Linked DNA regions of Callithrix jacchus. The protein of the gene in region 1 interacts with the protein of each later gene in a pairwise test. Links are inferred from orthologs where the notes say so. Each region holds a gene or a part of one and is shown on either strand. Other genes may lie near its edges.

Evidence for each region.
Region 2: the proteins of RFESD (region 1) and HBQ1 interact in binary tests that used the Homo sapiens proteins (3 or more experiments, as listed by UniProt). The two-hybrid records come from large-scale screens. The link is inferred for Callithrix jacchus from reciprocal best matches to the Homo sapiens genes RFESD and HBQ1.

What each region holds. Positions count from the first base shown.
Region 1 is NC_133503.1:114,920,377-114,924,197, forward strand, and holds the end of RFESD (Rieske domain-containing protein), read right to left. Parts: coding exon 3,792-3,821; intron 3,383-3,791; coding exon 3,348-3,382; intron 1,370-3,347; coding exon 1,106-1,369; 3' UTR 254-1,105; downstream 1-253.
Region 2 is NC_133513.1:2,457,367-2,461,273, reverse strand, and holds HBQ1 (hemoglobin subunit theta-1), read right to left. Parts: upstream 2,415-3,907; 5' UTR 2,388-2,414; coding exon 2,293-2,387; intron 2,208-2,292; coding exon 2,003-2,207; intron 1,915-2,002; coding exon 1,786-1,914; 3' UTR 566-1,785; downstream 1-565.

The DNA.
Region 1 (3,821 bases):
GATTTTTACATGGTGGATGCTCGGGGTGTTATTTTAAATAGATAACAACTAGTTATGTATGTATACTAACAACTAGTTAGTATGAGCCCCAGGCAACAGAACAGTACTGACCACAGAAAACTGACATGAGAAAACCAGGGTGAACCAAGTGAACATCAACCTTGCCTGGGAACTCCAAGGAACAGAACCCTAGATCTCCTCTCTAAAACATTTATAGGAGACACTTAGTTGTGCATACATTCACAAAGTTCTAAAAAATGTTAAAAATCTTTATTTGAAAATTTCATATAGGCATTCAAAGTACACAGGTTCATTGAATAGGAGACTTTACATCTCCAATGGTTCGGCAGCAGCTGTGTGTGGCTTCCTTACTTCAAGATCTGCCTTGATCAGAGAAACTAAGCCAAGGTTTATTTGGTTTTAATGTCTAGGACAGTGGTTAAGTTTCAAGTTCAGCAGGTAAACTTAGCTCATTTTTGGAGGCATTTTTTAAGTATAAAAAGTCTGCTATATTATTTGGGAGAACTGTACAGTTCAGGTTTGAACATTTCAATGTATTTAAAATTTACCTAAAAATGTAAAAATAACAATCAAATAGGAGAGGTAGGGAATCCATAGAGGTAATAAATAAAAAAAGAATAGAAGAATGCTGATAACTGTTAGAGCTGAGCGATGGAAGTTCATTATATATTCTGTTTACTTTGTATATATTAAAACTTTTCCAGAATTAAGTCTGCTATGTCAAACAGGGATTTTTTCCTATTTTAAAAATTAAAAAATTTTTTTCTGACTAAACATTAACTTTTACGTATTATTTACGTTGTTTACTCCAAATTTATTTTCATCCTTCTTAAACAGAACATCCCAAACCTATAACCTTCAGGTTCTAATTAATCCAGAGGATTAGATAAAATGTATTCTATTGATCCTGATGATAATCCTTACATCATACTAAGTATGTACGCTCTTAAACCTCTCAAATTTATATAATGTTTAAATTGTTGTGCCTACGTTGAAAAAAATCATCACCTTTAAAACTGAAGCAGAGTTATTCTAAAAATGTTTTTAAGCATACACAATATTTTTCATTGCTACGTATTTTTTATCAGGAAGAACTCTTAATTACTTTGAAGTCTCCAGTGGCATAAAAATCAGAGTCACACTTAAAAGGTTCATTAGAAAGAGTCACATAAATATTCCCATTATCTACTGTCACTGTATGAATCCTTTGCTTTATTCCTTTGGAGCACCACTTGGGTTTTGCTGATGGATCTTTAGGGTTTATAGACTGGTACAGACCTTCTCCTGTTGCCAAAGTAATTTTGTATTTATGCCAGGGGCAAACTATACACGGTCGTCCATCAAAATCCTGGGGAAGAAAATAACTCATTAAAATTCTGACATGTCAAGTTCTTGATACATCATAGACTCTGAACAGAATCTGCTGCAGAAGAACCAGGTTAAAAAACAGGTTAGCTTCTCTTTTTTCCTCCTATTTACAAATTATTCAGCATAAGCAGAACCTAATCTGAGAATAGTCATCAAGTTATTTTGCAGTTGATTAGAAAGCCAGTTAGAGCTCTATCAGAAGACTGACATGCTCAGGCAACTAAACCATGTGACTGCAGCTGTGCTGTTATCTATTAGGTGTTTACGTGCCTCCTTGATAGAAATGGGGCAAGGACGTCAAGTGCCTCTATAGGAATTTTCACTAGCTGCTAGAAGAATTGTAAGGTCTAGATATAAATTCTAAAGGAGTTACTAAAGGCATGGGTGCATATGATAACAGAAAAGCAATCTGTGATCCAAGGTAGTTAATTCCCAACTTTTTTTTTTTTTTTTTTTTTTTGAGACGGAGTTTCGCTCTTGTTACCCAGGCTGGAGTGCAATGGCGCGATCTCGGCTCACCGCAACCTCCGCCTCCTGGGTTCAGGCAATTCTCCTGCCTCAGCCTCCTGAGTAGCTGGGATTACAGGCACGCGCCACCATGCCCAGCTAATTTTTTGCATTTTTAGTAGAGACGGGGTTTCACCAAATTGACCAGGATGGTCTCGATCTCTTGACCTCGTGATCTACCCGCCTCGGCCTCCCAAAGTGCTGGGATTACAGGCTTGAGCCACCGCGCCCAGCCGATTCCCAACTTTTTAACTGTCTTAGTGAAGTGTTTCTTATACTTTAAAAAACATGGGAATCACTTGTATCTTGTTTAAATGCATGCCTCTCTGTTTAAATGCAGTAACTCTAAGGGGTTGGGGAACTCTAAGGGAAACGATTCTGAATGTCCAAGAAGCTCCCATGTGACACCAAGGTTGCTGGTCTATGGACAACACTAAGTAGCAAGGTCTTCAAACTCTCATTATGGACTGAAACTGGGAAAAATTCTATGAAACTATTATCAGCTTACAAACGTAAGTGGGTGCTTTCATTTTCCCCTCTATCACCAAAAGTGCAGGAATACTGATTTGTACTTTCATAAAACTGTCAGCATTCACATTTTCATAATTTAAACATACATATGTGGGCTTGGACAATGGGAAAAATAGAAAAAATAAACACATATGTTCTTTAACATGAGGACAGTATGTACACTCATCAAGTGTAGAGAGTGCGGAATGCTAAGTTCAAGCTTCTACTTTGCATCAGTTAGAGCGAGACCAATTTCATAAAGTAAGAAACAAGAAACTGAGTGACTAGTTTTGGAATCCAAGGAAGCAAAGACAGTTTCCCCTATTCCTCCTCGGTTAAGACTTCAAAGTGTGGTTTACTTCTTTAAAAATATATTTATACTGTATATTTTTGTTATAAAGTAACATATACTCATTGTAAAAGATTCAAATTATGCAGAATGTATAAAGTAAAAAGTGAATATTCTGGTTGATTAAAAATGGGATCTCATAAGAAATATTATCTTATGATTTGCTTTTTTCAGTCATAAATACATTGTTCACATCTCTCCATACTCATACAGATCTTCCTCATTAATTTAATGATTGCATGGCACAGTTATTCCATAGCATGGCTGTACCATAATTTATTTAACCAATTTTCTATTGTTAAAACATTTAGGTTGCCTTCAATTATTCATTATAATAAATAATGCTACACTGAATCATTCCTATATAAATACTTAAACATCAGTGCAATTATGGCCATAGAATATGGAGTATAATTGCTAGGTCAAAAGATATGCATATTTCTCATATTTATCTTATGAATTCCCAAAATACTTGAAATCATATTCAAACCAGTGAAATATAGTTCAAACCAATTAAGTTATTTATGAATAAATAATGAAATAAGAATATAAATAGAAAACATCTGAATTTGCTGAAAATAAATTTACATACCTCTATATCTCCCAAATGTAAAGGTCCTCCTGAGTCTGAAATGGAATTGAATATTACATGTAGTCACTAAAAAAATGAAATTTTTATGCTTTTATGGTTTAAAGTTTTTTTTTTTTTTTTTTTGAGATGGAGTTTTGCTCGTTACCCAGGCTGGAGTGCAATGGCACAATCTCAGCTCACCGCAACCTCCGCCTCCTGGGTTCAGGCAATTCTCCTGTCTCAGCCTCCTGAGTAGCTGGGATTACAGGCACGCGCCACCATGCCCAGCTAATTTTTTGCATTTTTAGTAGAGACGGGGTTTCACCAAATTGACCAGGATGGTCTCGATCTCTTGACCTCGTGATCCACCCGCCTCGGCCTCCCATAGTGCTGGGATTACAGGCTTGAGCCACCGCGCCCGGCCCCTATGGTTTAAAGTTTTACAAATGAAAAATAAAATCTTACGGTAACAGCGAATATCCATGGCATGATATT
Region 2 (3,907 bases), on another chromosome or scaffold:
GTGGCTCGAGCCTCTAAGCCCAGCACTTTGGGAGGCTGAGGCTGGTGGATCACCTGAGGTCGGGAGTTCGAGACCAGCCCGACCAACATGACAAAACCCCATCTCTATTAAAAATACAAAATTAGCTGGGAATGGTGGCGCATGCCTGTAATCCCAGCTACTTGGGAGGCTGAACTGGGAGGCAATCTTTCCTGGACTTGAGTGGGTCTGTGAGGCTCCCCAACAGTGTGGAGAGCCCACAGCTGCTCCTCAGATCTGCACCTCTGGGTGGCTTCTGTACCAAGTGGTCTGAGCCCTTGAGCCAGGGCCAGCTCTGTCCAACCCCACGTCTCCAGAAAGGATGGGGTCTGGCTCTCCCAACTTCATTGATGCTCCAGATGTAACCCAGGCCCAAGTAGGTGACCATGCCTACTTAAAGGAGTCAGAGCCTGGGGCTTCCCCAGGGGCCCTGAGCCTCTTGGGCTCCAAGTGCTTACTCCGGGTGCAGAGGTGCAGCAGTTGCAGTGAGCTGAGATCACACCATTGCACTCCAGCCTGTGTGACAAAACTTCGACTCAAAAAAAAATAAATAAATAAACATGATGTAAGATGGACTGCAGGTCTACAGGTCCACAGAATAAATGCTCCTTTGGGCAACACCACAGTGGGAAAACAGGCCAAGGACGCAACGGGTGGTGCACATGCAGGAGAGGGCAATGACAGATGCTGTCATACTGACGATTGACTTGTTTCTGTGGACCAGCTGCCCAGACTGGAGTGCAACTGCACGCTTCGCTCACTGCAGACTCCCTCCCAAGATCACGCAGTTCTCCCGCCCCAGCCTCCCAAGTAGCTGGGACCACAGGCACATGCCGCCAGGCCCGGCTAATCGTAGTCTTGTAGAGACAGGGTTTCACTATGTTAGGCAGGATGCGCGTTAAATGTGACGGCTCTGTGTGGGCCGTCTGCCGCGTGTGTGGGCGTGGAATGCCTGTGTCACACGTGCTCTTGGCTCTGACAGCCGTGTCCTGTTCTTGTCTACACATGACACAGTGTGCCGCGTGTCACGTGGGAACAGAAGGATGTGCTGCACCCGCTCCTGGGCCTGCGATGCACAGGAAGGCGCAGCAGGCGTTGTGTTGGGAAGTTCTGCAATGACCACGATTGGTTACGGGGCGAATAGAACAAAGAAGGCCTAGCTTCCCTCTCCATAGTAGTGTGGGCGAAGGCGGGGCTGCGGGCCGGCTCCTATGTGACTAGGTACTGGGGTTGGTCGCACCTCCTCCCCCAGGCCCAGCCCCAGGCCCTGGCAGTAAAAGGACTTCGCCACAACCTGCCCCCGCCATCCCCAGTCCCGCGGCGCCGCTAACGGGCTGCGCGCGGCGCAGGTGCCGGCCGGCGCCGGGAGAGGGCGCTGTTCCCTAACGTGCTCCGAGGCTGCCCCGCGCGCTGAGGCTGGAGGTGCGGAGTTCTCGCGGTGGGCCCGGGCCACGTACTTGGTCCCGAGTGGGGAGGACGCCCTCGCGGCCCGCGGTCCCCACCTGCCACCCCAACCAGGAGGGTCAGCCTGTACCCAGGTCAGTGCCCCGTTGGCGGAGACCTCAAACCTGTCGGGGGTGGGACGGGGCGCGCCTGGATCTGGACACTGGGAGCGCGCCCCCGGCCTCTCCTTGGGGAGGGACGGCGCCTTTCCCTCACTACGTCCAGCCCCCGAGAGAGAGAGAGCACGGCAGGAAGAGTGAGCCTCGGGGGCTTTACTCACACGGGGAGGGTCGCCTGGGGGTCCCGCGGCCACCCACCCGTAGTTCACTGGTACTCGGAAGCCAGCGCCGAGGCCACGTGGCTCAGGAACTTGTGCAGCGACGCCTGCAGCGCGGGGCTGAAGTCTCCGGGGTAATGCCGGGCGAGGGTCACCAGCAGGCAGTGGCCGAGGAGCTGCAGGGGGCGCGCGAGGCTCAGTCGCCCGCACCCGCCCCGCGGGGGGCCCTCCCGGGGACAGGGGCCTAGCCGGGCCGCCGCTCACCTGGAAGCTGGCCGGGTCCACTCGCAGCTGGCGCGCGTGCAGGTGGCTCAGCGCGGACAGCGCGCGGGGTAGGTCGTCCAGGCGTTCCACCGCGAGGCTCAGCGCGTCCGCCACCTTCTGGCCGTGCGCTCTGACCTGCGCGGAGCCGGGGCTCAGGTCCAGGTGACAGAAGTAGGTCTTGGTGGCGGGGAAGGCCAGGAAGGTCCTACGAGAGGAGCGGGCGTGAGGCGCGTCCGGGGGGCCTGGGGAGGAAGGGCCCCGGGGGGCGGGGGCGCCCAGCCCCGCCGCACCTCTCCAGGGCCTCTGTCGTGTACACGCCGACGTTGCTGCCCAGCTTTTTCCACAGGGCGCGCAGCAGCGCCCGGTCCTCCGCGGACAGCGCCATCCCCGCGCCCGAACCCGCCGCGCCTGCGCCGACCCGCACGGGGTCCCGCGGCCTCCAGGGGGCGCCGCGCTGCAGCCTCTCCTCCCTGGGGTCCACGGCCTTGTCCCTGGTCCCTGCGCGCTCAATCTCCGTCGGTGCCGACCGGGGCCCTCTGAATCGCCCTAAATCCAAGGCCCCCCGTTTTAGGGGTTCACCATATGGAAAATAATATTTACCGGCCTGAGCAACATAGGGAAGCCGCATATTTACAAAAAAAAAATTTAAAGTAGCCGGGCATAGTGGAGCGTGCTTATACGTATTAGAGAAATATATAATAATCATATACATACATAAATATATAATTATTGTTTTTGGAGATGGAATCTCGCTCTGGCGCCCAGGCTGGAGTGCAGTGGCGTGATTCCGGCTCACTGGTCACTGCAACTTCCATGGTCCAAGCGATTCTCCTGCCTCAGCATCTCAGTAGCTGGGATTACGGGTGAGCGCCACCACGCCCAGCTAATTTTGTATTTTTAGTAGAGACGGCGTTTCACCATCTTAGCCAGGCTGATCTCGAACCCCCGACCTCAGGTGATCTGCCCGCCTGACCTCCCGAAGTGCTGGGATGACAGGCGTGAGCCACTGCACCAGGCCATATATATTACTACAACTCTCAATTTCGGCATGGATTTCGCACTGGAAATAAGTTTATTCCGCCTCTTGAATCTACTGTGATGCTTGCTGGGATTTATTTACTCATTTATCATAAAATGAGGGTAATAGTTTCTTCTCAGATTGTCAGAATTAAACAGGTAACAACCGTCGGGTGCCTGACTCACAGCAGGTGTTTCTTCAGGGCAGTGAAGTTTACTGAGTGCCTGGAATGTAACCCAATAATAGTAAATACGTGTGCAGCGCTCACTCTGCTGTACCACCTTAGAGCTTTTTGTTAAAAACACCGTGATAAAAGTCGACATAAATTGCCAGACTATTTACAGTTTAATGCAGCCATCACCACTGTCTAGGTCAGAGCTTTTTCATCATCCCAGACGCCAATCTGTGCTCCTTAACGGTATCCCCGGCCGGGTGCCACTCATCTGCCGTTGGTTCCTATGGATTGCGCTGTAGTGGATATCGCATATCGATGGGGTCGTGTAACATGTGGTTTCTTTCACCTACCAAATATTTTGTTTGTTTGTTTTGAGACAGTCTTGCTGAGTCACCAGGCTGGAGTGCAATGGCACGATCTCGGCTCACTGCAACCTCTGCCTCCCGGGTTCAAGCGATTCTCCTGCCTCGGCCTCCTGAGTAGCTGGGACTACAGGAGCCCACCACCACACCCTGCTAATTTTTGTGTTTTGGTAGAGACAGGCTTTCCCCATGTTGGCTAGGCTGGTCTCGAACCCCTGACCTCAGGTGAGCCGCCTGCCTTGGCCTCCTAAAGTGCTGCAATTACAGGCGTGAGGAACCCTACCCAGCCAATTTTTATAACTTTTTCTTAGGCTTAGTCAACTGAAGCAGGAGGAGTGGAGAAGGAAACC